Alligator mississippiensis: one gene and its partners. The protein of the gene in region 2 interacts with the protein of the main gene of each other region in a biochemical or structural test. Links are inferred from orthologs where the notes say so. Each region holds a gene or a part of one and is shown on either strand. Other genes may lie near its edges.

Region 1 (7,359 bases), on a different chromosome or scaffold from region 2:
CTGCTGCTCCCGAGGGCACAGGCCCTAGTAGTTATGCCTCAGAAGACCATAATAGTTGGGTTATTGCAGAAGACAAACAGATGACAGAATGCCAAAGAAAATCATGCAAACACAGCCATGGTCAGTCTGCCCTAGAGGCTGGCAGCCAACTAGACGGTTAGATACTGGGGCACAGGGGACCATGGCCAAGCTGGACTTACTGGATAAACAAGCCTGGAAAGGAATGAAAGGTGACACTACACTCTGTATGTCTGCAAAGATGACCTGAGATGAAAAGCAGCAGCAGTTTACTTGTAAAGCTTCAGTGAACCCTTGGAATCAGAACAGCACTCCTTTTTTCACAATTTAAATGATGCAAATTATTTGACTTAAAATGATGGAACTGCCCTTATTTATGTTCCTACAAAATGTATCTGTTGCTATGAGGTCTAAGTATAAATGTGTAAGTAATGCATGTGGTCTACTCAGCAAAAGAGAATAAAACCTTGATGCGCATGAATTTACTAACAATATTTTGCATATCTGTCGCATTTTTCTTCTGAGGATCTTAGAGCAAGCATTTTTTGTGATATCTTTTATTGGACCACCTCTACAGTTGGGAGAGCTGGTGGACAAGCTTTTGGGCATCAAGGGCTGTTCTTCAGCTCTCCCAACTACTGTATACACTTGGTCCAATAAAAAATATCACAAAAAATCCTTGCTTCTCCAGCATTTTCATTCTAATATAATAAAAAACCTTAGTGTGTCTGTCTGTCTGTCTGTCTGTCCATTATGCTTTATTCATGCTCTGACTGGTTGTCTCGGCAGCCAATCACAATGCTGACTAAAACAACCGATCAGAGTGCTCTGCACAGACAGACACACACGGCACAGCGTCACCATGCTGGCAGAAACTGAGGGGCCGAAGTAGGGGGGTGAGGCCAGTAGTGCTGGTCTGCCCCCTGGCCCTGCTCCTTGGAGGCGGCGGCAGCGCAGGGTGCTGGCAGTGCAGCACTGGCCTCGGCTCTCTGCTCCAGCCTTGCCGCCACATCCAAGGGGCGGCCACGCCCCACTCCAGCAGACAAACAGGAGCAGAGGATGGGGGACACAGGGGGTGGGGGGGGCCACAGGGCCGGAGGCAGAGTGGCTGCAGCGCTCCATCCCTGCCTGCTCCCTCCCCATCATTCATGAGAGGCAATTTGCTAGTTATGGCTATAACAACACTCCAACTCTATTTATTCCTCAAAGCACGTCTGTGATCTTAATTTAACATATGTAAACACTGAATCATTGTGAGTTTTCTGACTTACCTAAAGTCACATATAAAGTTGGGGTGGGGGGAAAGGACATGAATCTAATACTCAGAATCCAATACTCTAGAAATAATCTAAAAAATGTATGCCCTCTCTCTCTGTCAACTTTAATTTTATATAATAACGATGCTCTGAAACTCTAGGGACTGGGTCATCTTAAATTTCCCAAGAGAGTGTATGGTGCCTGATAATGCAAGAGAAGCAAAAGGCAGATGCACTATATCATTCATACTGAAGAATGACAGAGAAGCCTAGAAAACTGGGGGAATGGAAACAATGGAAGCACTCTTGGGCATGTGATTGCTTTTACCTCTTCCTAGTACTTTCTTTTGCATCCAGTGCAAATTCCTATAGTATGCCAGCTGGGGAAGGGAATTGAGTAGATTTTTCTAAAAGTAAAGGGCAAGTGTGTGTATGCTGCAACTAGAATAGAGCAACTGGTTCATCTACTCAGGGCAAATTCTGTAGTGAGGCTTTCCAGGGTTATCTGTCTGAGGGTTAGTCTACATGCTGACTTGCAAAGGTGTGAACTGAAAGCCATGCAGCTATTTCAAAGTAAGTCTGCATATGAACACTCCCCCTCTCTCCCCAAGAAAAGTTGATAAGCCAATTCTAGCAGAAGCATATTCAAGAAGGGGCCAAGGGAGAATGCAGTCACCTAATTTGGCAGTGCCATGGCCTGTGCAATGAGTTCTGAGCTCACTGCCTGGTCAGTATGAGTGCCTACTGGAGCCCCATATAACCAGTGAGGACAGGGTCTGGCCAGAGTCACCATTTTTGTAGGGCTCTGGAGCCTGGGGGACTGCTACTGCTGTTAGCCTTTCCTTTCTCTTACCCTCCCCTCTGATTTCAGCAGCAGGGTAGAGAGGTGGGCAGTAGCACTTACACTCTGGGCCCTGAAGCCACATGAAAGCAGGAGGTCTCGGCACACTCCACACTGAGAGTTCATGTATAACAGCTGGAAGTGAATGCAATTACACCACCACATCCTCACTGGATCCTAGCAAGGGCCTGTTCTACACTACTGTAACTATTTTGGTGAGAGGATGCAATTTCCTTTCCCACTTTGAAATAATTATACCAGTGAAAGTTCTACTGTGGTCTAAGTTATATAGGTACACTGAAAGCATTGCCAGCTTAAAAATGTTGGCAAGGAATTTGAGTTTGGCGATATTTCACAACCAGTAAATAGCTGTAGTGCAGTAACTGCTTTTGCTGGTATCACTTTTTTTGGTTTTCAGATTGACATAACCTCCACCAGCAAAACACTTTTTGATAGCATAACTGCATCTATACTAAGAGTATTTGCTAGTATAGTGATACAAGCAAAACTTTTCTCATGTAGACCTGATACACTGGTAGAGTTTTTCTCTTTTCTATAAGAAAGTAGTTATAGAGTTATAAAGCACATCTACACTGCTGCAACTGTGTCCACACAAACCATTTCTTCAACTAACTAGTTAGCTGATACTCTGATGGTATCCGCTTCGGGTATGTCATAGAATTATAGGGTTGGAAGGGACCTCAAGGGTTAATCTGTCTGGACCCCTGTACAAATGCCAGAATGCTACTCCGAGGCTATTCCTGATCAGTGCTTGTATCCCCGTTGTCCAGTACCCCTGTGCAGTCTATTGCACTGCCTTAGTATTCTAACAATGAGGAAATTTTTCCTGATATCTAATCTGAATCTACTTTGCTGCAATTTAAAGCTATTGATTTGTGTCCTGTCCTCTGGGGCAAGGGTGAACAGTCATTTTCACTTTTTTATGGCAGCCTTTCAAATATTTGAAGATTGCTATCAAGTCCCCACTTAATCTCCTTTTCTCTAAGCTTTCCCCATATGGCCTGCCTCCTAACCCCTTTATCATTTTTGTCACCTGCCTCTGAAACCCTAACTTCTCCATATTCTTCTTAAAATGTGGACTGAACACAGTATTCTGATATAACCAATACCAGGTAGAGTGGTACTCCTACCTCTCATGTCTTACACTTAATACTCCTGTTGATATGGTACAAAATTTTGTAATTGTGCCACGTTGATGACTCGAGTCTGTGATCCATCAAAACTTCTGTATCAGTGATTCGTAGCCAGAGTGCCACACGATATTAGCATGGTTGGATATGCACGCAGGAGTCACAAGGTAAACTCAGGTTCCAAATACGAATCCACAGTGTCAAAACCATTCAGGCCTGTTGTGGTCTTTCTGGCTTCTTTGCAACAAACAAATTGCTCTGTTTTTTTATTTGTAGTAAAAAAAACAAGTGAAAACTAAGAGCTGGCATTCTCCAAGGGGCACCTCAAGTCTTAAAAAGGCTGAAAATCATTGCCCTAGATTCTTCCTAGCAAGACTGGGAAGGCTGCCACCCACCTAGTTATCTCCCATTGTTTATTTAATCATTCTTCCCCAGCTGCAGCATCTTACGTCTGTCTGCACTGAACTTCCTTCTGTTGTCTCCAGCCCAAGCTATCAAGAGCCGTCTGAACGCTACTCCTATCCTCCACTGTGTTCCCAGTCCTTCCCAGTGCGGTGTCATCTGCCAGCTTGATCAGGAAGCTCTTTGCTCGGGCATCGCTCGCTAGCAGAGGACCCCGGACCGCTGTGGGACACCTCCCGGTCCGACCCTTGCCCATTCGGCCTTGCCCTTCGCTGGCGGGTACAGGACCAGTCACCTCTCCACCTCAGCGTCATGTTATCGGGTCTGCGTTTCTCCAGGTCACCTGTGAGCACGTCATGTGGGACTGGATGAAAAGTCCCCTCCTCCTCACAAGTCAGAGCATCACTTAACAAACTTGCAGCAAAATGCTGAAAAAGCTTTTAATCCCCACCTTGTACCAGGGCGCTGCAGGCCTGTGAGCAGGACCAGCCCTCGGGTGAGGGACAACCTTCACCTTGGTGACAGGTGACAGCTCTCCCCGAGGCGCCGTCTGTTGTCCGAGGCTTCCCGCCGCCCGGCCCGGCCCGGCCCGGCCCTCCCCTGGCCCCGGGCCCGGGGGCGGGCGCTGCTGTCGCAATCGCCGGGCGGCTCCCGGCATCCCCCGCGCGCCGCCCGCCTCGGCTCGGCTCGGCTCGGCTCGGCGAGCCGGCTGTGCGGCGCTCCAGCATGGCGGCCTACAGCAAGTACCTGACCGTGCGCTACTCCACCATGGCCGGCGCTACCGCGGCCGCCTGCGCCCTGCTCTGCCTCCTCAACAAGCGGCGCCAGGAGGCTGCGCAGCACGGGTGAGCGCTCGCGCGGGGCGGGCAGCGCCTGGACCCCGGCCCCATCCCGGGCCCTGCCCTGCCCCCGGCGCTGCCCGCAGTGCCCCAGGGGGAAGTGCTGCAGGCGCGGCAGTGCTGGGCAGCGCGGCCCTCGCCCCTGCGGGCCGGGGGGTGGTCTTAAACCCCCGGGACACATCGGGGAGGATGGAGCTCGGCCTCTTCCCACCTCCCGCCCCCCCCCCCCCGTTTTTGCTGCCCAAACGATAAGCTAAGAAAAGCAGTGAGCAGGAACAACGAGCAGGAACAGGTCCCCGGGGCTGAACAGCACCTCAAGATGTGGGCGCTGGTTTGCGTGAAAGCAGTCAGGACAAGAGCCTGCGTGTACCCATTGTGTGGCTTTTGGGGCGCTTGGCTGAATTGAAGAAAATAACAGCCAGGCAGTTTAATCTCAACAGTACATTTTTTAATTGGAGGTTACTCGCTCTAGACGGGGGGTTGCTCAGCCTGTGGGCCAGACCCAGCTCCCAGAGCCTCTTTTTTTGGCCTGTGGGGCTGCCCACAAGTTTGAAAATTTGGTGATGGGGAAAGTTTGCTGCTCCCCTGCTGCCAAATTTCCAGGCCTGTGCAGCACTTCCGTGGGCCAGATAGCATGGCCCTGTATGCTAGAAGATCGGGCACTCAGGCACCAATCCCCGGTGCGTGCGGCCAGTGAAGGGCATGACACAGATGAGCAGTGGTCTTTTTTGGTCCTGTGGGCCCCTGGACAGTCCCAGGAGCTGCTCTTAAATGTTGAGTAGAATGGCATATGTGGTTGGGTGAGGAAAGGAGAGAGTTCTTGCTTTAAAAGGCAGTTTTTAGATCATTCAAAAGCAATTTTGAATCAAAATAATCTGACCCTCATCTAGCCCTTTCTCCATGTCCAGTTTTTTCTTGCATCGTGGCTACTGTAATCTCATTTTTTGGATCCTTGCCTTCCTCAAATCCATTTTACACGCTGCTTCTGCCAAAGCAGTCTTCATTGCTTGTCAGTTTGTCACCTTCCTTCATTGGTGGCTGTTTCTTCCCTGCAGCATTTTATCAGCCGCTGGCTATGAAACTTAGAGTACCCTACCTGTTAAAAGCCTGGCAGATGGTGAACAACAGTTCTTGCATCACTAGCCTACGTACATATCCTCTTATTAGTGTTGCCTCATCCTCCCTCCACCCCATCAGCCTATGTTATACTAATTTGCTGAATCATATCGTTAATGTAGCTATACTTGGAGCAGGGGTAGTCCTTTTATCAAGTTTTTTCTTTTTTTTATTCTGTTCAGTTGGGGCTTGCTTGTCATAATGAAATACACATGGGTTTACCATGTTAATAGTGATACAAATCATCCAAAGCCCTGTGTACCATCTAAATCTTGTGGTGCTCTTCTGCAGGATGTGGGTTCTGGGGAGTAGAGCAAGCAGATGGGCTAGATCAGGGGTTGTCAACCCACAAAGCTCATGGACTGGGAACTCACTGGCATTCAGTGGAGCAGGGACTCTGCCTGTGCTACACTGCAGCTAAGTGGCAAAAAAGTGGCCGGGGGAGAAGTTGTGGTAGCAGCAGGATCCTAGCTTTGGATCCGAGCTGGGTGATTCTAGCCTGCTGCCAGAAAATGTTGCTGAGCCTTGGGCTAGAGAATTTCTTATCACAGCTTGTCAGGAAGAAAGCTCTTTGCAGGTTGTGAACAGGTCTTATCTAGAAGGGGCAGTGGGTCACAGTGTATAGAATCTGAGTAAGGAGCAATGGCTACCCTTCACCTTGTAGTCTGGCCTGTTTCCTTCTCCTAATTACTTGATTGCTTGATTACATTGTCTCTCTGCAGGTAAAAGTGAATTTTACCCTTTGAAAAGGTCTGGTTTCAACATTCTGTTTGGGGAACAACATGAAGTGTGAGGACAGGCTCATACTGGGGTCGATTCAGTGGGATAGTTATACCAGTTACTGTACCAGCAAAACACTTTTATTGTGGGTGTGACTTATACCAATAAATCTGCCCTTTTCTTGGCACTTTTTTCATACCCTACCCTGCTCTTTCCAGTGTATTAAAATAAAATGTACAATAGAAACGCATCAATGCTGTCCATTTTTGCCAACACAGCTTTGGTCACAAACCCCACTTCCTCACTTCCCTGACCAGAGATTGTATCATATATCTGGCCTAGGCCGTGTTTTAGGAATAGTATGATATGAAGCTTGAAGAAATATTAAAGAATTATTTGAAGCATTATTGGAACATAATTTCATAGTGCCCACTCTAACTTTATTATATACTATATTTACTCAAATCCAAGATGAAGATTTTTCCCCATTTAATGTGGGGAGATGGGTCTTGTATTGTATTTGAGGGCCATGGTTGGAGCTGCTGCCTTGCTGGGGCCAGAGTGGGTTTCATAGATTTCATAGACATTAAGGCTGGAAGGGACTTCATGAGATCATTGAGTCCAGCCCCCTGCGCAAAGGGCAGGAAGTCATTTGGGGTCAGATGCTTGCACCGCTTCTGGAGGGAGTCTGTTTCAGACTCTGGAGACTCAGACGTAAAGTATTTTAGATTGGGCATAAGCAAAAACTTGTCTTCCAGCAATTTGTGACCATTGGACCTCGTCTTTCCTTGGTGCCCAGGTGGACAGATATTCTCCCAGATCCAGATGCACACCCCTGATATACTTATATCAGGTTGAGGTGGCTTGTGCAGTGGGGGGGCATGGGGAAGACCACACAGTGGTGGGGAGTGCAGGGAGGAAAGATGCTGGGGAGTCTGCTCAGAGTTGGAGGGGGGCAGTTTAGGAGACAGCACAGTGCAAGATGGGGGGAGCTGGGGAGACTGTGTGGTGTGGTA
Region 2 (7,172 bases):
GCTCCAGGAATCTGAGCTCAGCCCAGACCCTGCCACAGATGGATCCTAATGCATTTACCACAATGGGAAATATTTCTGGGGACACTTGTTGGCCCACCATGTTTGGAAGTCATGAACTTTACCCCAAGCACCTGCCAATTACTGAGCTTGACTGGACTGGGGCAGCTGTCATTGGACTCATCTTTCAACATGTGCCCCAGCAAATCGGAGGTGTAAATGCAAGACACAAGGGCATCCAGAGCCTGCTTCTGAGGCTGGCAATAAAACCAGTCAACTGCAATGACATGAGATTGAAGAGAAGTGGCTACTGAGCTACTGAGGTGCCTGGCTCCAGAACCAGACCATCCCACCCACCCACAGTTTCACAGTTGATAGGGTCGGAAGGGACCTGAGGAGATCATCTAGTCCGACGCCCTGCCATGGCAGGAAAGAGTGCTGGGGTCAAATGATCCCGGCCAGATGTTCCTTCAGCCTCCTTTTAAAGACCCCCAGGGTAGGAGCCAGCACCACTTCTTTTGGAAGCTGGTTCCAGGTCCTAGCCGCCCTGACAGTGAAATAGTGCTTCCTAATGTCTAGCCTGAAACTACCCTCCGCTAGCTTGTGTCCGCTGTTTCTTGTAACTCCCAGGATTGCTTGGGGGACCAGGGACTCTCCCAATGCCTGCTGGTCCTCCTTGACTAGTTTGCAGACTGCCGCCAGATCCCCTCTCAGCTTTCTCTTTTGGAGGCTGAACAGGTTCAGGTCCCTCAGTCTCTCCTCATAGGGCCTGCTCTGCTGACCCCTGATCATGCAGGTGGCCCTCCTTTGGACCCTCTCCATATTGGCCACATCCCTCCTGAAGTGCGGCGCCCAGAACTGGATGCAGTACTCCAGCTGTGGCCTGACCAGTGTCGCATAGAGGGGGAGGATCACCTCCTTGGCCCTGCTCGTGATGCATCTGTGGATGCACGACAAGGTACGGTTGGCCTTCCTGACCGCATCCCCACACTGTCAGCCCATGTTCATTTTGGCATCAATAATGACTCCAAGATCCTTTTCTATCTCAACACAGGTGAGAAGGGAGTTCCCCAGGCTGCAGGTGTGCTGCTGGTTCTTCCTCCCCAGGTGCAGCACCCTGGACTTGTCAGTGTTGAACCCCATCTTGTTCTCTTCGGCCCACCCCTGTAACCTGTCTAGATCTGCTTGCAGCCTGTTCCTTCCTACTAGTGTACCCACTTCACCCCACATCTTAGTGTCATCTGCGAACTTGAACAGGGTGCTTTCTACCCCCTTGCACAAGTCACTGATGAAGATGCTGAATAGTGCGCAACTGTCCCTGCACAACTGGGTGGGAGAAAATGCTACGTGTTCCCAGTTCAACAACTCTGCCCAAGCTTAAGACAAGGGAAATACTTCCCCGTACCCTTCCAGCCCATACAGCCATGGGTGGTCACTGCTCTTACTTTGGCAGCATCGTTAGGAGACTTCTCAGCACTGCTGGCATCTCCTGCTCCGGCAGTCGCTGGGGGTGGTGGGGCCGGCTTGGTCTTGTCAAAGTCATCAAGAGCACCTTCAGGGCAAAAGCAGAGAGCTCAGATGAGGGGATAAGACCACACAGGTCCCAGACAAGGGGGAGATAAGGGAAGTCAGACCAAGGCCACAACACCAGGGCAGTCCTGAGCAGCATGACATGGAGGAAGCCAGCCAAGACGTTTGCAGTTCACTACATGTCTTTGGATGTCACGTATAGAGCCATACTCTGCACCAGCGCCCAGCCAGTCCCTCGCACTGCTCTCCAAGCTAAGGGGATTCAGACCTGCTGCGGATGAGATGCAGCTTCAACTGGGGACAGAGGGATGTGAGCACACCGTCACCGACCTACGGGTGACATAACTGTTCCTTCAGTCGCACCAGCTGCATTTGAGCCTGAGCTGCCCAGTCGTAACTGCAGCCATCCCTGCACAACGTTCCCGAGTGAGGGGTGGTGAAAGGATTCAACTGGCTCCGAGTGAATACGACACAGCATTTGCGAGAGGATGCGACAGCCCCTGACCTCCACGGGGACTGCCCCGTGCTCTGAAATCCCACTCCTACTTTTAAATCAAGCTCTTCAGGCTCAGGCTGGCACCCCCGAAAAGGCCGCTGCAGAAGCCGGGACCCAGGCGGCTCAGCATCCCAACAGCCAAGGCGGGAGGAGCTGGCACGGCCACACGGCAGCTCCACTCCCCTCCCGAAGCACTTGGGCCCCTATTGCTTCGCTGGGGGGTGCTGGTCTCCGGGGACCTCTGGGTTCAAATGCTGCTGGCAGTCAGCGCCTTAAAGCCAGGTTCAGCTGCAGCACCTGGAAACGCCGACTGCTGCACCCACAGGAGGGGTTTGCCTTTCGGATGCTGGCGTCTGCTCTAGACCTCTGAGAGGCCCGTCGGACACCCCCTGCACACGGCTGACCAGGGCAGTGCTCCCAAGAGGCGCCATCGTGGAAACCGTGTCACACACACACACACACACACACACACACACGTGCCATTTGCACCTCTGCAAAGAGCCGTGTTTTTTAACCCGCGGCACGTGCGCGTGCCAAGAAGGGAACGTCTCTGATGTCGTGACAACGTCAGAGGCTGGCGTCTCTCCCATATGGCAACAAAACAAAGGCACAACAATTGCCTAGAGAAGACAGGGGGTGAATAGCTGCGGGGGGGGGGGGGGTGCAAAGAGGATGGGACCGCAGGGAGAACAACACAACCCTCTTCCTCGCGGGCCGGGCAGCCGAGCCGTGCCGTGCCGTGCCGTGCCGGGAGGGGGCACAAAGACCCGGCTCGGGGGAGGAGAAGGAGGCCCCTTCCCGCCCCGCTCCCGCACCCGGCGGCCCCCGCATGTGAAGAAGGAAGTTCCCGCAACCCTGAGCCCCGGCTCCGCCCGGCCTTACTGTCCAGCAGGTCGTCCAGCTCCCGGTCCGGCCCCGCCGCCGCCATCTTGCCGCTGCCTCCCCAGCTGGGCGGAGCTACCGCAGACCCCGCCCCCCGCCTCGTTCTGAGCTCGGCCGGCTTCCTGCGCCCGTGTGGGTGGGATGCGGCCCCGCGTGCGGCGCGCGTGCGCCCCTGGTGGGCGGGGGCGGCGCTGCCTGGGCTGACCCGCTCCGGGCGTCCAGCTCTGCGCAGTCCGCAGCCTCGGTTGCGCTTCTTGCGCTTTACTTCTTGCCCTGTCCGCTGGACTAGGCGCAGCGCTGTACAACGTTTCGAGTTGCAACGTTTCCCACCTACAACGTTTATAAACGGACGCCCTGTTTCAACTTCTGACCTCAGTTGCGACTTTATGGCACTTGATCCGACACGACGCCACGCCGGCGAACAAGTTCACTGCGTCGCTCAACTCATCTGTGCAAACTTCCTTGGACTCTTTCTTTAAGAAAGCAGGTGAGACTCCAGAAAAACCTGCCGCCGGGACTCCTGAGAAGACACAGCAGCCGAGAACCCTTCAAAAAGTCCAGCAAAGTCACCTCAAAGAAGTCCTTCCAAGTCCATGTGAATCCTATTAACCATGTACATGCACTACAGGCTTAAGTACCACCAGCAAATTTTTCATACACATAGGTAACAGGCTGTGTATTAATACAACATCAAAACCTTTAGTAATCATAAAACATTGTTTTACCGGTTACGGTAGCCATATAAAACAATTGTAAATTGGAAAAAAAGACGGTGTAAACCAGGGGTAGGCAACGTTTTCGGCCAGGGCACTGAAAAAAACTGCTTTGTGTATGCTGTAAGGTGCCAGAGTGCCGACACCCCAGAAAAACAAACCTGGGGTGGGGGCTGCATGGCAGGACACACTGCAGATTAATATAGTTAATAATCATAAATGTGGCTGCTTCTTCTTTTTTTTTTTTTACAGTAAATAGCAGGTTTTCTCAAAATTCTAAACCTGGTGACAATAAATAAAACCTCATGTGCTACCTTTGTTCTTGTGTCTTCTTTTTTGTTAAGCACATTGTGATGAGAGAGAAGGAAGAGAGAAGAGAGATGGGGGAGAGAGAGAGGAGAAAGAAAGAGAAGAGAGAGAGGGAGGGAAGAGAGAGATGGAGAAAAAAAAGAGAAGGGAGAGGCATGGGGAGAGCAGGTGTTGGGGGGGACAGGGGAGGCAGTGCAGTCAGGCTGGCCTGGCTGGCCCTTGGGAAGGCTGCAGCCAGATGAGCAGGGGCCAGGTGGGGAGCAGGGGCTCCCCTGGGGCTCCACCGACTCGGGCTGCAGGGGGGATGCTCAGCAGTACCGGAGGTGGGGCCCAGCCCAGGCTGTGCAGCCCCACGGGGATGGGTCACAGCCACCCTGCCCACAAGGGAACGCTGCCTGGCCGGGGCAGGACACCAGGCTCGGGGTTCTCCTGGCTTGGGCTCTGTGCATGCCAGGTGCAGCACAAGTTGGACAGAGCCCCCTGGGCCACAGCATGGACTCCGTGGGCTCCGGAAATAGCCGCTGCAGGCAGTGCTCAGAGCTGAGCCGCCTGGGAGCCTGCAGTGCAGCCGCCCCCGCGCAGCACCTGCCCTGGCCCCAGCCCCTTGAGGGCAGTTGCAGGTGGGCAGGGCCAGGGCTCAGGCAGGCTGGGGCAGCTGCAGGCAGCTGTTCCCAGGTGCTCCCGTGGCCAGGCCCTTGCAGCAGGGATGGCTCTGCCCTGCTCGCACTGTGCCCAGTGTGCAGGGAGGCCAAGCCCAGAGCTGAAAGCCCCCCTGAGCCAGGTGGCATCCCCTCGTGGAGCTGCACGGGCCCAGCCAGGCCCCACCTTCGGTGTCGCTCTGCACCCCCACCCGCCTGCCACAGTCAGCCTGCAGAGCTCAGCGTCATATCCCAAGCCCATTTTTATCTTGCCTGGGATGACATAGGCTTTGCCGGGGCATCAGGGAGACTCCCACCTGTGTGCACCCCAGGTTAGGCACAGGGGCTACCTGCCCCCCCAGATTTATATGTGGGGTGGGGGCAGCTGCTGCTGCATGCTGGGGTCTGAACATGGGGAGCCGCACACGACACCACGTGCCTTCTGTGGCCGGGCAGCCAGCGCATGGAAGGCAAGTGCAATCCTCTGTGATCGTTCAGGAAATGCTCTAGTGTCTTGTAGCCGTATGTGGTGCTCTATCCCTATGGCCAACCCCATGTCTCATTCGTGGAGCAAGAAGACCTTGGGCATAGCACTAAGTTTCTGCTGTAATGGAGCCTTGCACTCCAGGGGCACCAGTGAGCCTCCAAAATAAACCTGGGCGAGGTCCAACTCTCCTCCTTCAGTGGGACACAGTGGCAGCAGGGCCTGCTGATACCCCTCACTCCTGACCTGCAGCCCCCTGCCCCCCCAAGCCCTGCTGCCCCCGAAGAACCCCTCCGCTCCCTTCCCCCACTCTGCTGCAGACCCAGCACTGGCAAGCACGCCCACGCACACATGCACACACACACACGCACACCCTCTCTCTCTCTCAGCATGTGTGGGCACACACACACACACACACACACACACACACACACACACACATGCTTTCTCTCTCTCAGCTGCCTGCGGCTGCATGTGATGCCCTGCCTCCAATCACCTTTCCCCGCTGTCCCCAGCAACTCCTTTGCTGGGGCAGAGGTAAAGCAAAATCCTGGACATTTGCTGATATTTTAAAAAAACACCCAGATGGGGGCATCCAAAAAGTGGACATGTCCAGGAAAACCCAGACGTATGGTAAACCTTCACAAACATTTATTTACAATTTCTAAATCCAAGAATATAAACAGTCTAGGCTGGGGGCAGGCCACACATGACCCCCTGGAAGTCCCCTGGCATGGGCTGGGCAGTGCGCAGAGACCCTCGGTCCTTGGGGCCTGGCTTCATCAAGCCCACGCACTCCACACCTAGGCAGTATTTCTCGGGTGGGCTGGTGGCTCTGGAAACAGGAAAAAAACTAGTAAGAGCCCAGACCACTGCCATGGAGCAAGACATGGTACAGGGCCACCTGCCATGGCATCTCCATCTGTGCCAGGGCCCAAAGCCAGCCCCAAGGGGCTCAGCAACACATCTGGCACCTTGGCCCCCCGGGACCAGGGCTGACTTGTGACAACAGGTGACGGCTGAGCCCAGCTGGAGGGACTCTGCTCTGGCTTTGCTCCCATGGGGACAGCCAGCCCCCAGTGAGCACGGGAGCATGGAGGGCAGAAACGAGGCTCAGAGTAGGTGGCAGGAAGGGCAGCTTGGTGCAGCACCCAGTAAGGTGAACTGCCTCCCGCCCTCCCAACCAGCTCCCACCACTGGCCTGGCCAGTCCTGCTGCAGCCGTCCTGCCCTTAGCCCAGGGCCTGGGCCCCCTGCCCTGCTCCCGCACCAGCTGGCAAGTCTCAGGGGCTCAGCTTGCCCTAGGACATGGCAAAGGGAGAGACAGCATGAGTTGTGCCAGATGTGGTGGGCGACGCCCCAAGACCAGCACCCCTGCAAGCACCCACAGTCCAGCCCCTACATAGTCCCACCCTCACCGGAGCTCCTCTATCCTCTGCCTCTTGAGCTGGGCAATGTGGTCAGCATGCCACTGTCTCTCTTTCTGTAGATGCTTCTTGTCCTCAAAGGAGACAACCCGCTCACATGCCAGCTTCTCCTGATACTTCTGCATCTGGTGCTGAATGTCCTTGGCATCCACCATTCTCTGGGTCGCCCACTTCTCCTGCTGCCTCTGCTCCTTCAGTGCCTGCTCCCTGGGGGAAATGCCAGTGCTGGTGATAGGGGCCAGCCCAGGCTGGAAAGACCATGACCTTCCTGCTGGGGCTGGCCCACCCCCTCCCGCATACATGGGGTCCTATGTCTACCCGAGCCAGGTTGTCTCCACTGCAGCTTGTGCACCCCAGGCTCAGCCAGAGCTGCAGAGGGCAAGCCTGATGTGCCCTAGCTTAGTTCCCCCACAGGCACACTCTCCAGGGCCTGCAACCCCACTGTCATCCTGGGGCCAGGCCACGCCTCGCACTACCTGAGGATCTGCTGGAAAGAGCTGCGGTTCTGCTGTGCCTGTATGACCGAGGCACGCTCCAAGTGGCTCTGCTTCAGCATGGCCTCCATCTCTCTGTACAGCCACTCCGTCTCCTTGGCCTCCTGATGCTGCTTGACCCGGAGAGCATCCTGCCAGGAGGGAAGCATTGATTGCACTGCCCAGGCAGCAAGAAGCCAGGTGGAGATTCTGCTCCTGCTGCC
Region 3 (7,825 bases), on a different chromosome or scaffold from region 2:
TGTAACTTTTCTGTAGTTGTTTCATTTCTACCTATAGTTAAAAATGGAGATACTAAAACAGTATGACATAGATACTCATACTTACAAAGTACACATACACACTCATGATGCAATCCTATATCTACAGTTGAATTTAAATCTTTTTCTACATCTTGTAAAAGCGTGTGTGGTATTTATACAAAGTATCACCTTTCATATAGTCTATGGACCAAATTCCTGTCTACAGTGAAGCTCCTTTGCAGGTCTGTACCCCTTATGATGCCATCTTACACACCTGGAGAACAATGCCCAAGTCATAAGAGTTGCTCCTCACAATCCATGGAAGTTTAATTAATGTTTAACACCCAGAATGGTTTCTGTTCTTGGAACTTTATGAGCTGGGCAATGCTGGTGACTGATGTAGGGATTAAGTTTGCTAGTCTTACTCAGTCTCACTCCCATTTGCTCTGATGGGAGTTTTGCCTGAGTAAACCTATAGAACTGATATCTTGACCTGATTTTTAATAACATAGCAAGCTGGCTACAGAAAATGATAATTTATACCATTTACCTCAAACAGCTTAATGAATTGCATGTGAAGTAGGATATAAAACAATCTGGCTGAAATAACATAGTAGTGATGGGAAAGAAAAAACTTCTTAGTTTAGCTGCTGTTAATGCAGTGTGACACAGCTTCAGCAGAGCCTTGCCATTATAAACATGAGCTACTCATGTTGTATTATGAATAACGCTGACTGAAAAGAGCAGTGACACTGCAGGCCATTTTTCACTGTTCACTTCCGCATGAGGCAGAACTCCTCCCCCCCCCCCAAATCTCTCTTTCCCCCCCAAAAGATGTTCCTGCCAGAATTCGCATCAGATAAAATTAGGGCCTGCTCCTCAGCTAGCATTAAAACAACCAGCTACTTTTTACATAACCCTGATTGCTGGGGCACAGTGTTGCACTTCTGCTATTTTAAGGCTCTGCAGACACCACTTCTTGATTTAGCTACCAAAACCGTGGCAAAGGTCGCATTGCCTTCTGCCAAAAAGCAAAATTCACCTTTGCATCGCCTTGCAACACTGTTGCCTTTGCATGACATCATTTATGAGAGAGAGGATTTCAGCACCCTGAAAGCGCCTCTGCTTACACTTGTGAGGATAAGATTAATAAGAAAAAAATAAATAATAAATTTATTATTAAATAAATAGTAATTATGTAGCACTGGTGAGGCCACATTTGGAGTACTGTGTCCAGTTTTGGGCCCCCACTACACAAAGGATGTGGATAAATTGGAGAGACTGGCAGAAAGCAACAAAAATGGTGAGAGGGCTAGGGGACCTGACTTACAAGAGACTGAGGAAAATGGGCTTATTTATTTAGTTAGACTAAGAGGGGATTTAATAGCAGCCTTCAACTACCTGAAAGGAGGTTTGAAAGAGGATGGAGCTGGACTGTTCTCAGTGCTGGAAGATGACAGCACAAGAAGCAACAGTCTCAAGTTGCAGCAAGGGAGGTTTAGGTTAGATATTAGTGAGACTTTTCTCACTAGGAGGGTAGCAAAGCGCTGGACCAGGTTACCCAGAGAGGTGGCACAAGCTCCATCCTTTGGAGGTTTTATGACCCAGCTAGACAAAGCTTTGACTGGGCTGCTCTAGTCGGGGATGCTCCTGCTTTGAGCAGGGGGTTGGACTAAATGACCTCCTGAGGTCCCTCCCAACCCTCGTTTGCTATGAAATGAAAAAGAATGAATGAGAAGAGCCTGCCAGGGTTTAAAACAGAAGACATTAGGAGAAGCTCCGTTTGGAGGAGCCTCTCAGGGAGGATGAAAGAGCCGTGGTGCAGCTCAGAGTCAGCAACGGGGCCGGGGGGAGGAGGGGGGGGTGGATCCTACAAAGCTGCGGCAGTGCTGGGTACTGTTTTTTTTTTTACCAAAGCCAGAGCAAGCCGTAAACAGGCTTCGGAGTCAGAGGAATTCAAGCCGCTGGGGTGGAGGGAGGGGGCTGATGGGCAGCAGATCCTATCTGCCCGCGCTGCACCTGCACCAGCACCCGCACCCGCCGCGGGGGCCGGTGCGCGGCCGCCCTACCTTGTGGCCGCGGTAGAAGGCGATCTCCTCCACGTTGGCCAGGATGCGGGCGTGGACGTAGCGCAGGTAGCCCTTGCGCTGCGCCTCCTCGGCCACCAGCCTGCCGAAGCGGGGCGAGCAGGCTTTGAGCACCCTTGCCGTGGCGTACACCACGAGGCCGGCCAGCAGCGTGGGGCCCACCGGGCTGGCGCCCCGCTCGCGCGCCGTGCAGATGAGCGCGTAGGAGGTGAGCAGCACGTCCAGGATGGGCTTGGTGAGGTTTGAGTAGAGGTGCGCCACGGACTGCGCGAACAGCATGATGTCCTCGGTGAGCGACTGGTCGGGCGTGGGCAGGCGGCCGTCCATGCCGCTCACGCGGTAGTAGGTCTGGTGCGCGAAGTAGGTCTCGTAGGCGCGCTCCACCAGGCGCGTGCGGAGCGCCAGGGCCAGCTTGCCCTCCAAGTAGCGGATGGCGCTGTTGACGAAGGTGGCGGGCACGGCGATGAGCAGCCAGCGCAGGAGCTGCAGCGCGAAGCGGCGCGGCTGCTTCTCCACGATGCTCTTGACGATCTTGCCGTCCAGCCGCGCCACGTAGATGGAGAGGAAGGTGCGCGACACCAGCGCGGCCGAGTGCAGGCCCAGCCAGCCCGCCTCGCGCCCGGCCCCGCGCGGGAACAGCAGCCGCCGCAGCGCCAGCAGCTGCCGCACGAACTCCAAGTTGGCCGCCGGCGCCGCCCCCGGCCCCGTCCCCGGCCCCGTCCGCGGGGCGCCCCCGCCGCCCGCCTCGCCCAGGCGCCGGCGCAGCGCGGGGTACAGCAGCCGCAGCCCGCACGCCGCCGCCGCCAGCCACGCCGCCCGCCGCGCTGCGCCCCCGCGGCTCCACGGCCCGCGCCCGGCGGCGGCCGCCTGCGCCAGCGGGCTCATGGCGGGGCCGCTCCGGCTGCCAGCGCCTCCGGCTGCAGCACCCTCAGCCCCGCTCCGCTCCGCCCCGGCCCGGCCCGGCCCCGCTCCTCCCCGCTGCGCTCATTGGCCGCGGCCGCCGGGGGCGGGGGCGAGCGGGTCCCTCAGCCCGTCGCAGCCGCGGGCGCAAAGAGCCGGCGGGATAGGAACAGCATTCTTCCGAAAGAGCGTGCCCTGGGCGCGCCAGAGGCGGAAGCCCTGCCTCGCCTCGCCTGCATTGGGCTCGGTTGACCTGGCACGCGAAGCATTTTCCTTAAAAAAAAAAAGAAAAAGAAAAGATCCTGAGCGACTCTGGGTGCCACAACGCCGCTCCCACAGCCATTGCAGAGGTGTAGAGGGTGCACGGGCACCCCCTGCGAAAAGGCGCTGCCGACACTGCTTGCGGGCGGTCGCCGCTCGCCACCGGCACGGCCGGCGGCATCTGCAGGCGGTTCGCGATCCGCTGCCGCCGACAGCGCCCCCGCCGCCTCGTTGTGCCCCCCAGCCCCCAGGGGCACGCGGCATTCAGGCCCACAGCCACGGTTCTCCTGCCTTTTCCATTTCCTTCTCTCTGCCTGACTCCCTCTTCTTGTTCCCCATTTATTTCGAAGTCCAGTTTAGTCAGAGTATAGGATGTACCGGCCTATAATAGTGCCATGTGTCTAAGAAGCCCAGGGGCAGGGGAGCCTCCCCACTTCAGAGGAGCAAGAAAACTACATTTCACTTTAATACTGCTTTTATCTACACAACTTTAATATACAAAAACTATATACCACATCTTCATGTAACTCCTATCATGTTACAAACTTTACAAACAAAACAAATCAGCTGAGAGCAAAAACAATAAAGACATTACTTTGAACTTGAACCTGCTGAACCCCATCAATTCTGAAATGACAGGTTTACAGGAGGACCTGAATGGTCATGTCATATAACCCCCACATTGACCCCCAGAGATAGAGCAGGAGAAAAGAAAAAACATTCAAAAAAGGTTGAAGCTTTTTCACTAGTTTAAAAAGCAAAGCAGTGAAGCAACAGTATGGATGTGACAACATAACGGGTTCCTACATTTGGTGGAGATAAGAAAGAACTTGGAGTTTGGAAAAAGTGTTACTAGAAATACACAAGAGTACCGAACCTCGGCATCACAGACTTGCCTGGAAGATGTTTATTAACATAAGGCTGCTGAATGGGATTCAAACTAACTGTTCTGTAAATCAGGTTGGGCAGAGCTCAACTAGTTCATAGTCTTGTTATAAAACAACCTCTATACGCAGAGAGCAGTTGTGACATTTAGTGAGCAACTCTCCTGTTTCAGACAGGAAACACAATCTTGTGCTACTCCTGCAGCAGCTGAGCAGCAGTCTCCTGAAAATAAGGCCTAAAACCAGACAAGTTCTAACATATGAGCTACACTTCTCCTTTCCCCTAGGAGGATGTTTTTCCATCTCCACTTTCAGTGTGTAGCTCTTGTTGATTAAAAGGCTTAGGTAAAACAGATGGGAGCATAACAGTGATGGAACTGTAGCTGTTTAAATACCTGCAGCTTTCAGTATTGTCAGGGGATCCTAGAGGCTTGGGTAGATGCCTTTTTCACATCTTTTGGGATTTTTGCTGTACAAATCAAAATAAAATAAAATTATAGCTTAGAAAATAGTTCTATTGACATTTGAGATAGAACAGAGTGCAGTAACTCTTCTTTGGTCAAACTGAGCCAGTTGCACTAGCAATTATTTTGTCAGTAAACAAAGCAGATTGCATATGATTTAAAAATACACAGGCACTAAGTATGAGGAGTTAAAAGTGCCTTGTTTAGGCAGTCACTTAAAGTTACTTTTAAAAAAATTGCAGTTTTCATTTAGTTCCATTTCCATCCTTATACTGTTTTATGCCTTAGTCACAATATCTCTTGCAGCTGATATGCCAAACCGCACTGACTTGCAACATTCCACTGCCCTAGCACTTTTTTAAAAGGGGGAAAGTTCATAGATCCCTATTTCACTTCTGCATATCTGCTGACTCTTAGCTGTACAAGAGCCAGGGAGACTGAAGCTCATAGTGAGTTGGTATCGGCAAGAGCAAACACACGTGGCAAGGTCAGGCCTGTAGGGGTATTAAATGAAACAAAAATTACCTGAATATGCAGTGCTGTAATCAGAGCAATATCTTTTCTTCCTTTGAAAAACACGAGAAAAGTCTGAATTGCTGTTTTAATTGCATTCTTTTTTCCTCCTCTTGGTGCCCTGTTTTTCGCTTTGCTACTGTCCATCTTCTTAGTCCATAAACAAATTACTCTTTGTGGAACATAGCTTTCATTCGTAGAACTGATGACTAGTAATGACTGGTGAGATCAGTGCATCAAAACATAATACAGTAATATTCAGGTACTGCTGATGAAATACTGACCAAAACTCAGTAAAAGTGATATCCTTAAGATAAAGGCTATGCCCAATTTCTACTAACCGGGTACAGTTACATGAGACCTTTACCGCGGAGTTGCCCAATTAGCTCTGCAGTAAACATCTCAGCATCTACACGTGTGGCCCTATTAGGCCACAGGAAACTAACAAACTCTGCAGCAAGTTAGTACTGGTAAACACAAGTTTTAATCTGCTGTGGAGTTTTTTCATGCGCAGCAACACACGTGTAGATGCTGATCCAGCTGGCTGCCACACTGGATCACACTCGTGCCCCAGCCAGCCCCTCAGCACGTTGAGCCGGGTCAGAGCAGCCCTAGAGCCCACACATCTCCTGCCAGCCAGGGCTGCTCTGACCTGGTTCAATCTGCTGTGGTTCCAGGCACACATTCAAATGGGGCACCTAGGATCAATAAACTCCCATGCAATAAACTCCCATGTATCTGGGACGTAGCGGAGAGGATCCCAAAGCTTATCTGGCCCTCCGACCACTACACTATGCTCCTTATCCATGTGGCCATGAATGACATGTCTCAGAGCAATCCCAGCCGGGTCATGAGAGACTACAGGGCTCTGGGAGCGGGGCTTAGGGGGTTGGGGGTGCAGGTGTTTTTTTCCTCACTCCTCTTGGTTGTGGGTCATGGACTGAGGAGGGACTGACGGATCAAGGTAGTCAACCAAAGACTGCAGTGCTGGTGTCATCGTGAAGGCTTTGCCTTCCACGATCACAGTCTGCTCTTTAGTGAGAGAGGCGGTGGTCTGCTGGGGAGAGACAACCTCCACCTCACTCCACTGGGGAGGAGGCTCTTCTCAGCCCGATGGCTGGGAAATTGGCTCTGAGGTCGGACCCAGAGAGGTAGTAGTTGATGGAAGTGAATCATTATGGCACTCTGTGACCCGTGGTGTCCCCCAAGGCTCTGTCCTTGGACCAGTTCTCTTTAACATCTTTATCAACGATGTGGACATTGGAGTCAGAAGCATACTGGCCAAATTCACCGATGACGCTAAACTTTGAGGCATAGCGTCCACACCTGAGGACAGGCTAGTGAACCAGGCTGACTTGGGTAAGATTAGAAAGTGGGTGGATATAAAACTGATGACATTCAATACCGAAAAATGCAAGGTACTCCACCTTGGGGGGAAAAAACCTGCAGCACGCTTATAGGCTTGGCAGTGCTATGTTCACTAGCACCATGGCTGAAAGAGACATGGGGGTCATGGTTGATCACAAGATGAACATGAGCCATCAATGCAACATCGCAGCTGGTAAAGCAAACAAAACTCTGGCTTGCATCCATAGATGCTTCTCACGTAAATCTCAGGATGTCATCCTCCTGCTGTACTCAGCCTTGGTGAGGCTGCAGCTGGAGTACTGCATCCAATGCTGGGCTCCACAATTCAAGAAGGAGGTTGAGAAGCTTGAGAGAGTCCAGAGGAGAGCCATGCGCGTAATCAGAGGGCAAGAGAATAGGCCTTATAAAGAGAGGCTGAAAGCCATGGGACTCTCCAGCCTGGAAAAGCATAGGCTCAGGGGTGACCTGGTGGCTGCCTATAAGTACATAAGGGGTGTACATCAGGATTTGGGAGGATGTCTGTTCACCAGAGCGCCCCAAGGGACCAATGATCATAAACAGGAATTGGAATGTGGGATGAAGGAAGTATATCCAAGGATATACTTTTCAGGAGTTTTAAAACACCTTTGATATGATATTATAATATATTCTTTACTGTGGTCATTTAAATTATAAAATCATGTAAAATTTCCTAAATTTAAGGCAATAGTTCAATTATGTGGTTTTCTACAGATTAGTTCTGAGATCTAATGGAGGTTGTAATATCAGAGAGTGGGGTTTCTGGAAAAGTTGTTGCAGCCTTGGAACTCATAGGTATGGCTTCATGGGATATGAAATTAAAATAAAAGGTGAATTTAAAATAAATGTGAGCTATCTGTCCCATAGCCTAGGTATTTTGGTCAATCAACATTGAAAATACTTTTAAATTTTAAAAATAATTTAATATACAACTATAAATGAAGTAAGTATATTTCATATACTCATGTCTGTTTGTATGCATAAAATACACGTACACAGAGCAATGATTTCAGTGTGATTTGAGAAAGTTTGGTGTCTCTTATGTAACTGGTCCTTTTATGTCTACTTAAAATAAGTATTTATTTTGCTCTTTCTTTTTAGTGTTAGCTAATAAATTATGTGTCATCTTCATTTTGGAGGACTTTTTAGTTTTTCTGTTGCTCTTATGTATGCTAAGTATCAGGATCTTAGATTGTACAAACATTCAGAGATTCAGAGATGCTAGGGTTGGAAGGGACCTCAACAGATCATCGAGTCTGACCCCCTGTCTGGGCAGAAAAGAGTGCTGGGGTCAGATGACCCCAGACAGATGCCTATCCAGCCTTCTCTT
Region 4 (7,222 bases), on a different chromosome or scaffold from region 2:
GTAGGGAAATTAAGAGTTTGACCCGTGCTTTTTTATGAAAAAAGCATCATGGGATTGTTTTAACATATGATCAGAGCAGACAGGACCTATCATGTCATCTGAAACCCATGCACTGAGAGGAAATGGTCATGTACTTTGTGTACTAACCCACATAGCATGAAGTACTGAGTCCAGACCTCCAGATCTGTCTAGACCGATGGTGCTCAATCAGCAGCCCGTGAGGTCATGTGAGGCCTGTGGGCCTCACAATCTACCCTGTGAGGCCTTGTCTTCCAGCCCACAAGGCTCCCCAAAGGGCTAAAAATTTGCTGCTAGGGCAGGGGTGGGCAAAATACAACCCATGGGCCAGATCCGGCCTGTGGCTGCCCCCACATGGGGCCAAGTCTCATCCGCTCCAGCCAGGGTAGCCCGCGCAACACTCCTGCTGGCCTGGTCTCCAGCCAGCATGCAGCTTCCAGTGGGGCTGTTCCTAATGCAGTTGCAACTGGCTGGGTGCTGTTGTACTCCCTTTGCCTCCCAGTGACAAGCCTGCAAGCCTGTCTGCTTGCAGCCGCACTGGAAACAGCCCCACCAGAAGCTGTGCACTGACCCGGGTCCGGGCTGGGTGCAGGCCAGTGGGTGTGGGTGGGATCATGGCACAGGCTGTCCCAGGTGGGACTCGGCTCCATGTGGAGTGCTGTGGGGACAGCTGCTGACTGGGTGAGCTCTGCTGCATGCTTCCTTCCACCTCCCCTCACTCCCAGCTGGATCCCATGCAGCCTCCTCCACCCCATGCACATGCGTGCCAACCCTCTTGCTCCTGAACACTGGTCCCTGCCCACCCAAAGCCTCAGAGGGAGTTTTGGTGAGTTGTTGCATCAGGAGGTAGAGAAAGATGCTGACCCGACCTACAGCAGCTCATCAAAACTCCCTATGTGGCCCTCAGGCCCAAATAAATGCCCATCCGTGGTAGGGGGAGTGGTGACAGCTAAGCTTCCACTATCTAGCGGTGGGCTGGATAATGTGGCTCTGCCCCACTATGCGAGGTTGGTCTGTGGCTGGAACCAGGAATGCAGGCTTGCACCTACGCACCAACCCTATGCACTGACCATGTGTAGAATCTAGCCTGTGGTCTGGTTTGTGCCACTCCTCCAGCCCGTGAAAATTGGGCACTGGTGGTCTAGATCTATCAGTCTCAAAGCATCAGGTTTGATATAACTCAATCCCTCTGCCCAGGAGATTATCCCATAAATTTTGCCAAGGGCAACCACAGAATTCAGGGACATGGAAAGCCACTACATAAACATACTTCCAAAAAGACAGCTAAAACAGTTTTAGTAGCAGAGGGAAATAGAAAAAAAAAAAGGCCAAAAAACTCCTTATCATCTACCCAGTGAGCCCAGGCACCACTCTCTGTTGCCATATTGATGCGGCAGGACTAGGGATGAAGGTAGCCACTGCTGGCAGAAAGATGAGTTACAGAGAAATGACACCCACCCACCAAAAACAATAGACTTCTGTCCCTTTAAGCACCCTAGGGCTGACAAGGCTGCCTGCCCCTCTGCAACAGGGCTGGGAACCTGCCCAGGGAGAATCGTAGTATCGTAGATAAGTTGGGCCGGCAGGGACCTTCAGAGATCTAGACCAGTGGTTCTCAACCTTTTTTGTACCAGGACCCATTTGTAAACATTGATGGCCAGTCCTGATCAAATGTCTCTCACTCCTAAACCACTGGCTGCTGCCCCAGCGTGTATGGGGGGTGGGAAGGTGGGGCAAGCAGCCCCTCACAGGCTGGGACTTTGCCAGGCTGCAAGAGAAAAGCCGCGGTTTTCCACGTTTTTCTCCTTTAAAGTGCCATCATTTTTAAAGTTCGTTCAGAACCCTTTCATAAATTCTTGCAACCCACTTTTGGGTTGCAACCCACGGCTTGAGAAACACTGCTCTAGTTCAATCCACCTGCCTGAGGCAGGATCATCCTGATCCAACTTGCCCCACACAAGCCATAACCTAAGCTCTACATAAGATCACTGCCAACCCTTATGCAACACAGACCTAACACCTGACTTGCCACAGGTAAAGCAAGGGAACCGGCAGCTGGTGTCTTGCTTGTCTGAAACGTTATCAACATATGCTCAAGAGGTCCTGGGTAGAGGCCCACACCCCCTGCTGCAGAGCAAAGCAAAAACCTTGCCAGTCCGACCAATCTTCCCAGAGCAGGGTGGGGTGGGCTCAATGATCTTTAGAGTCCCTTCTAGCCCTTCATTTCTATGATTCCTATGAATCTGACCATGAGGTAAAACTCCTCCCTGACCTCCAACATGGCAATTGGTTTGACCCCGAACAGAGGGACCACCAAAAAACCATTTGCTATGGCATCTTGGCACCTGTGGGGGTGGCACCGCACCTTGGGGCGTGTTCTTGCAGCAGGGCTGGCGGTCCTCTTACGCAGGGTTTAGACTACAGTTTGGACGGGAGCGTGTGGCTAGGGCCCCTCTCCGCCTCCTCGCAGTGCCCACAGCCACCGGTTCCCTTCACCTGAGAGAGACTGGGAGACCCCTACACAGGGGACCCAGCCTCCCGGGGGAGGGGGGGGGGGGCGAGGGACCGCCCGTTGGCTGGTCACGCCCCAACCGTCCTGGAACCTCCGCCCGCGGGGGGAGGGGCGGTAGAACCCTCGCGGAGAGGGGGGGCCTCCGGCCGCGGCGCAGCGCAGGGGCCCTTGCCCTGGACGAGACCATTTCGCGGGGGAGGGGGGGAAATCTCTTTAGAAGCGGCATGAGCCAGTCCACCCCGCCGCGCCGGGGTGGGGGGGAGGAGAGAGGCAGGCCGCACTCACTGGAAAGCCGGGGCGGCGGTGCCCGCGAGGCGCCGGCTCTCCCAGGGCTTCGGGGGGGGCGGCTGCGACGCCATGTCTTGCCCTGAGCCGAGCGGAGCAGAGCGCAGCTGCCACCCGGCTGCAGAGCTCGCGGCCCAGCCAGGCCTGACGGGGGGAGCGTCGAGCTGGCCACTGCCGCAGTCGCTTGTGGGCAGTGCCGCGCCTCTCGATCCCGAGCTCTGGCTGCCTCTGCTCTGGCCTGCCCGGCGCCTGTTTCCGGGGGGGCGGGGTGAGGCGGGGCGCATGCGCGCGCACCCTGGCGCGAGGGCTGCGTGGTCCGCCAGCAGTGGCGGCTATTGCAGCCCCCGGAGGTAGGCGGCAACCCCGGCCTGGCGCGGGTTCGTGGCTGGCGCGGCGTGACCTTCGTACCCCGCCGTCCCCGCGCGCCGCGGCTTCGCTGCCACGTGGCCTGTGGAGCTTAGGGCTGAAGCTTGCAGTCCCGCGAAGGCGGGTGAGGCCCAGCTGGAAGCCTGTTAAATAATCCGAGCGCGCGCGCACAGACGTGCCCCCTCCTGCATAGGTGTGTACGTGCATGGGTGTGTAGGGTCGCGTGCATGCATGTACCGCTGTATGTGTGGGTGTGCGTGACTACGTATGTACATGTCTGTATGTGGCTATACGCCTACGTGGAGCATCTTGAGTGACGCGTATGCACACAGGGAGTATATATTGAGTGATCGTTCCTTCTGCACCTACAACACACGAGGTTATCCTTATATGTATATGTGTGTATATATGAAGATATCAAAACAAAATTCCATTTAAGATGTATAGATTTAGTTTATGTATAAACTATGATGTAGTTTATGTATATATGTATAAGTTATACGTGTGTGCGTGTGTATACAGTGATGGCCTTAGGGTTGTTGGGGCCCTGGGCAAGAAAGTCATTTGGGGCCTTTTTGAGGCTTAATTTTGATGACCTATAAGCAAGTTGGACATTTGTTGTAAAAGTTTGGGAGCCCCTAAAGTGCGGTCGCCCAGTTTGCCCTCCCCTAAGGCTGTGTGTGTGTGTGAACTAAAACTATACATTCTAGGCATTATAGGACATCTGTCTGTCTCCCAACACCACAGACTTGCACTGAGTGAGGCATCAGCTTGCTAAACAGCTGTCACAATTCTTGGGTGACAGTTCCTTCAGTTTCTCATGTGGTAAGTGCAGAAGGGACTGCCGCTCAAGAGCTCAGCTCTATGGCCACATTCAAAGATGTTCAATGAGTGGATGCCTCACTTAGCTCAGACCTATTGTCTCAGGAGACAGGTGCCTTATAATACCTACTATGTATAAATAATAGCTAGGGGTGCACCGATAAAGATTTTCTTGGCTGATACCAATAGCCAATGATTAAGCATGCATATTGGCCGATGCTGATCCCGTAACCAATATTTAATAATAATGCAAGGATTTTAAGCTACTGACATAAATGAACCCTTTTGTTTGTATTGCATTTTGCGCATGCATGCACACCTGCCTGCTCTGACCCTTGATGAGGAAGGCAGTGACCACCTTATTCCCACACGCATCACCCCTTCGCCCACAGCTCCTATCTGCAGGCCTGCTCCCTGAGCTGCAGTCCTAGATGGGCAGGATGGACTCTTGTGCAGACAGTAGTGCTGGATACATTGGGAGCTGTAGAGCAGTCTACTACCTCAGCACCACTGGGCCGCAAAGCCAAGCCTGCAAAGCCAAGCTCCTGCAGCTGCCAGGGAGAAGCCATTTTTGCAAAGATGCCTGGTACCCGGCAGAGCGGAATATTCCTCATGCGGTGCCTTACCCTGCCTGTGCACAGCCCAACGTCTCCATGGCAGTCCCGGTGCTTAGGTTTCTGCGGCATGCGCAGCATTGCCATGGCAGTGGCAGTAGCAGCAGGAGCCAGTAACAGTCCCTTTGTTGCTGAGCTTGGCACCCTGTGACCACCCGCCAGCACCCCCTCCCACTGCTCTCTGGGACCTGTAGTATGCTGCGGGCTTGAGCTGGCGGTGGGATGTAGGGACTGGATTGTGCTCACCAGGGTGCTCTGGACATGCAGCCATAATTATTGGCTACAGCGACCAAGAAAAGCCAATAGCTGATAATGTCATTTCTCTTTTTATCGGTGCCGATCCGCTAGCCAACCAGTATATTGGTGCCCCCCACCTAATGATATGCTATATAAACTCAAACTATACATCTTAAGTGTGGTTTTTTTTTTTTTCTTTTTACAAGAGGCAAGAATTTCTTAGGCTCATTTTTATTGGATCAACTATGCAGTTTAAATAAAGTTAGACAAGTTTTTGAATGCAAGACATTCTTTGCACATGCGCACACACTTTGTGTGTGTGTGTGTGTGTGTGTGTAAAGCATGAAATTTAAGGGGTATAGTTTTAGTTTTCTTTTAGATCATACACCTCTTTGGACAGTGATTCTCTCTCTCTCTCCAGCTGTCTATAGCAGCTAACATCATGGGGACTTAACCTTGATTGAGACACCTGGGTACCATTAATATAACTGCATAATAAATATAATTGGGAAGCCTTATAAAGTGGCATTTGGGAGCACTCTGAAACATAATTCACTTTTATATCCTTACTCAAAGAATCTCCTTTGCTTCTTTAATGCCTCCTTTCTTTCTCAGGCTAGTTGCAAGAGGTGATGTCCTCCTACAGATGATGGGAAAACAGCCTTGGGCTCTTCTGTCTGTCTCTCCCTTCTCTTGATTCTTCCTTTTGTGGATGGAGGCTACTTTGGTAGCTCAAAACAGAAGTGGCTGAGCTGGAGTCAGCCAGGCTGTGGTTATGAGCTTAAGCAAATGCCTTATTTGTGGCATCACTGGAAATCCAAGTGCTCCCTTTTTTAGATATTCCAAATTCTTGAAATCCCCTTAAATTCAGATGCCCACATATAAAAGAATAATTTTAGGAGAAAAGTCATTGTAGGAGAATTCTTGTTTTAAGCAAGTGACTTATTTTTAGGTGGTCATTGTTAGGCTTGGATGTCCTAAAACTCCCTTTATAAACAATGCTGCTGCACATGAAAAAACTCCACATCAGGAAAGTACTTGCATTTACAGGTACTACCCTGCTGCAGAGTTTATCAGTTTCCTGAGGCCTAATAGGGCTACGTGTGTGTATGTCAAGACTTTTACTGTAGAGTATATTAGGCAACTCTGCAGTAAATGTCTTGTGTAGATACACCCAGAATGAAGAATCATAGCTCTGGAGCAAGTCTGCCTAGCTGTCTCATTTGCTAGCCTCCAGCAAGCAGAGCTGTTTCCTTTTGGGTCAGTAGTCCTGTGCCTACATATTATACACAATTATTATAATGTGTATAATTGTCATAGATAATATATTATTTAGTGGAATAGATAGACCGTAGCAAACCAGTCATACTAATCTGAAGGTCTAGAACAGAGGTCTGCAACCTACAGCTCATGGACTGGATCTGGCTTGTGGAGCCCTGGCTTCAGCAGGGAGCTTTCCCTGCACTACACTGCAGTCAGGGCTTTGATGAAAGGGGAGGCTTCCCTGCACCACTGTTGCAGACTTGCAGCAGGGAGAAGCAGCAGAGGTAGTCAAGTCCTAGTACTGACTTGCCTCAGACCCAAGCTGGGTCATTTCCACATCTTCCTTCGCGCCCCCCCCCCCCCCCGAAAAAAAAAAAAAAAAGTTGCCAACCTGTGATCTAAAAGTTAGGGCATTGATCCCAAAGGTCCTATTCACATGAGTTTATCTTTCTATGGTTTGCAATGAATTAAGTTTATTTTAGAGGAGGTTGGTTTTAAAATAGCTTCTATTCTCTGAAAATTTATGTTTAGGAGGTAAATATTAAAATCACTTACTATCCATATTTGGCTTTTTTTTTTTTTTTTAGGGTTATCCAGCATGTCTTCACTGACAGAAAAGGACAGACCTGTTGCTCAGCTGTTACTGAATACTGGCACTTGCCCACGATGTGTTTTCAGATTCTGCTGTGTGGGATCACAGGAATCTTACAGGCGTCCACACAAGGTTTCCTGTTTTGTTTTTTAATTAAAATATAAGAACACGAAAGTGTGGGGCTTTTTTACACTTCTCTTGGACTTAATCTAGTTGCTCCAATATGCAACTTTATGAACGCCAGTCAGTTATTGGTGGTGTCAGTACTTGGATCTGCAGGCCTGAGAGGAAGAGGTTTAGCAGACTTAAGTTAAGGTAAAATCATTGCTTCTTATCTTCTACAATGTAGCTTTATTGATAGATGCATTGGAAGAATGCCACCATTTCAGTCAGTGGAGTGTGATTATTGAATCTGATCTTGAAAGATGTGAATGTTTTCTTCTCTGTGATAAATACAGAGTAACCGCCTCTGCATTTATCCATACCCATTTGTAATGCCATTTTATACTAAAT

Evidence for each region.
Region 1: the proteins of PEX19 (region 2) and ABCD3 form a complex in vitro, tested with the Homo sapiens proteins (4 studies listed by BioGRID and IntAct, with this or other methods). The link is inferred for Alligator mississippiensis from reciprocal best matches to the Homo sapiens genes PEX19 and ABCD3.
Region 3: the proteins of PEX19 (region 2) and ABCD2 form a complex in vitro, tested with the Homo sapiens proteins (3 studies listed by BioGRID and IntAct, with this or other methods). The link is inferred for Alligator mississippiensis from reciprocal best matches to the Homo sapiens genes PEX19 and ABCD2.
Region 4: the proteins of PEX19 (region 2) and PEX13 form a complex in vitro, tested with the Homo sapiens proteins (2 studies listed by BioGRID and IntAct, with this or other methods). The link is inferred for Alligator mississippiensis from reciprocal best matches to the Homo sapiens genes PEX19 and PEX13.

The regions. Positions count from the first base shown.
Region 1 is NC_081828.1:34,237,277-34,244,635, forward strand, and holds the start of ABCD3 (ATP-binding cassette sub-family D member 3), read left to right. Parts: upstream 1-4,340; 5' UTR 4,341-4,394; coding exon 4,395-4,513; intron 4,514-7,359. UniProt on the Homo sapiens protein: Broad substrate specificity ATP-dependent transporter of the ATP-binding cassette (ABC) family that catalyzes the transport of long-chain fatty acids (LCFA)-CoA, dicarboxylic acids-CoA, long-branched-chain fatty acids-CoA and bile acids from the cytosol to the peroxisome lumen for beta-oxydation.
Region 2 is NC_081838.1:21,135,353-21,142,524, forward strand, and holds the start of PEX19 (peroxisomal biogenesis factor 19), read right to left. Parts: upstream 3,010-7,172; 5' UTR 2,952-3,009; coding exon 2,906-2,951; intron 1,550-2,905; coding exon 1,443-1,549; intron 1-1,442. Other genes in the region: cilia- and flagella-associated protein 45, read right to left, coding at 5,737-5,884, 6,467-6,682, 6,952-7,172. UniProt on the Homo sapiens protein: Necessary for early peroxisomal biogenesis. Acts both as a cytosolic chaperone and as an import receptor for peroxisomal membrane proteins (PMPs).
Region 3 is NC_081827.1:29,209,089-29,216,913, reverse strand, and holds the start of ABCD2 (ATP-binding cassette sub-family D member 2), read right to left. Parts: upstream 3,010-7,825; 5' UTR 2,973-3,009; coding exon 2,070-2,972; intron 32-2,069; coding exon 1-31.
Region 4 is NC_081824.1:211,841,227-211,848,448, reverse strand, and holds the start of PEX13 (peroxisome biogenesis factor 13), read right to left. Parts: upstream 3,021-7,222; 5' UTR 2,890-3,020; coding exon 2,816-2,889; intron 1-2,815. Other genes in the region: tRNA pseudouridine synthase Pus10, read left to right, coding at 6,716-6,841. UniProt on the Homo sapiens protein: Component of the PEX13-PEX14 docking complex, a translocon channel that specifically mediates the import of peroxisomal cargo proteins bound to PEX5 receptor.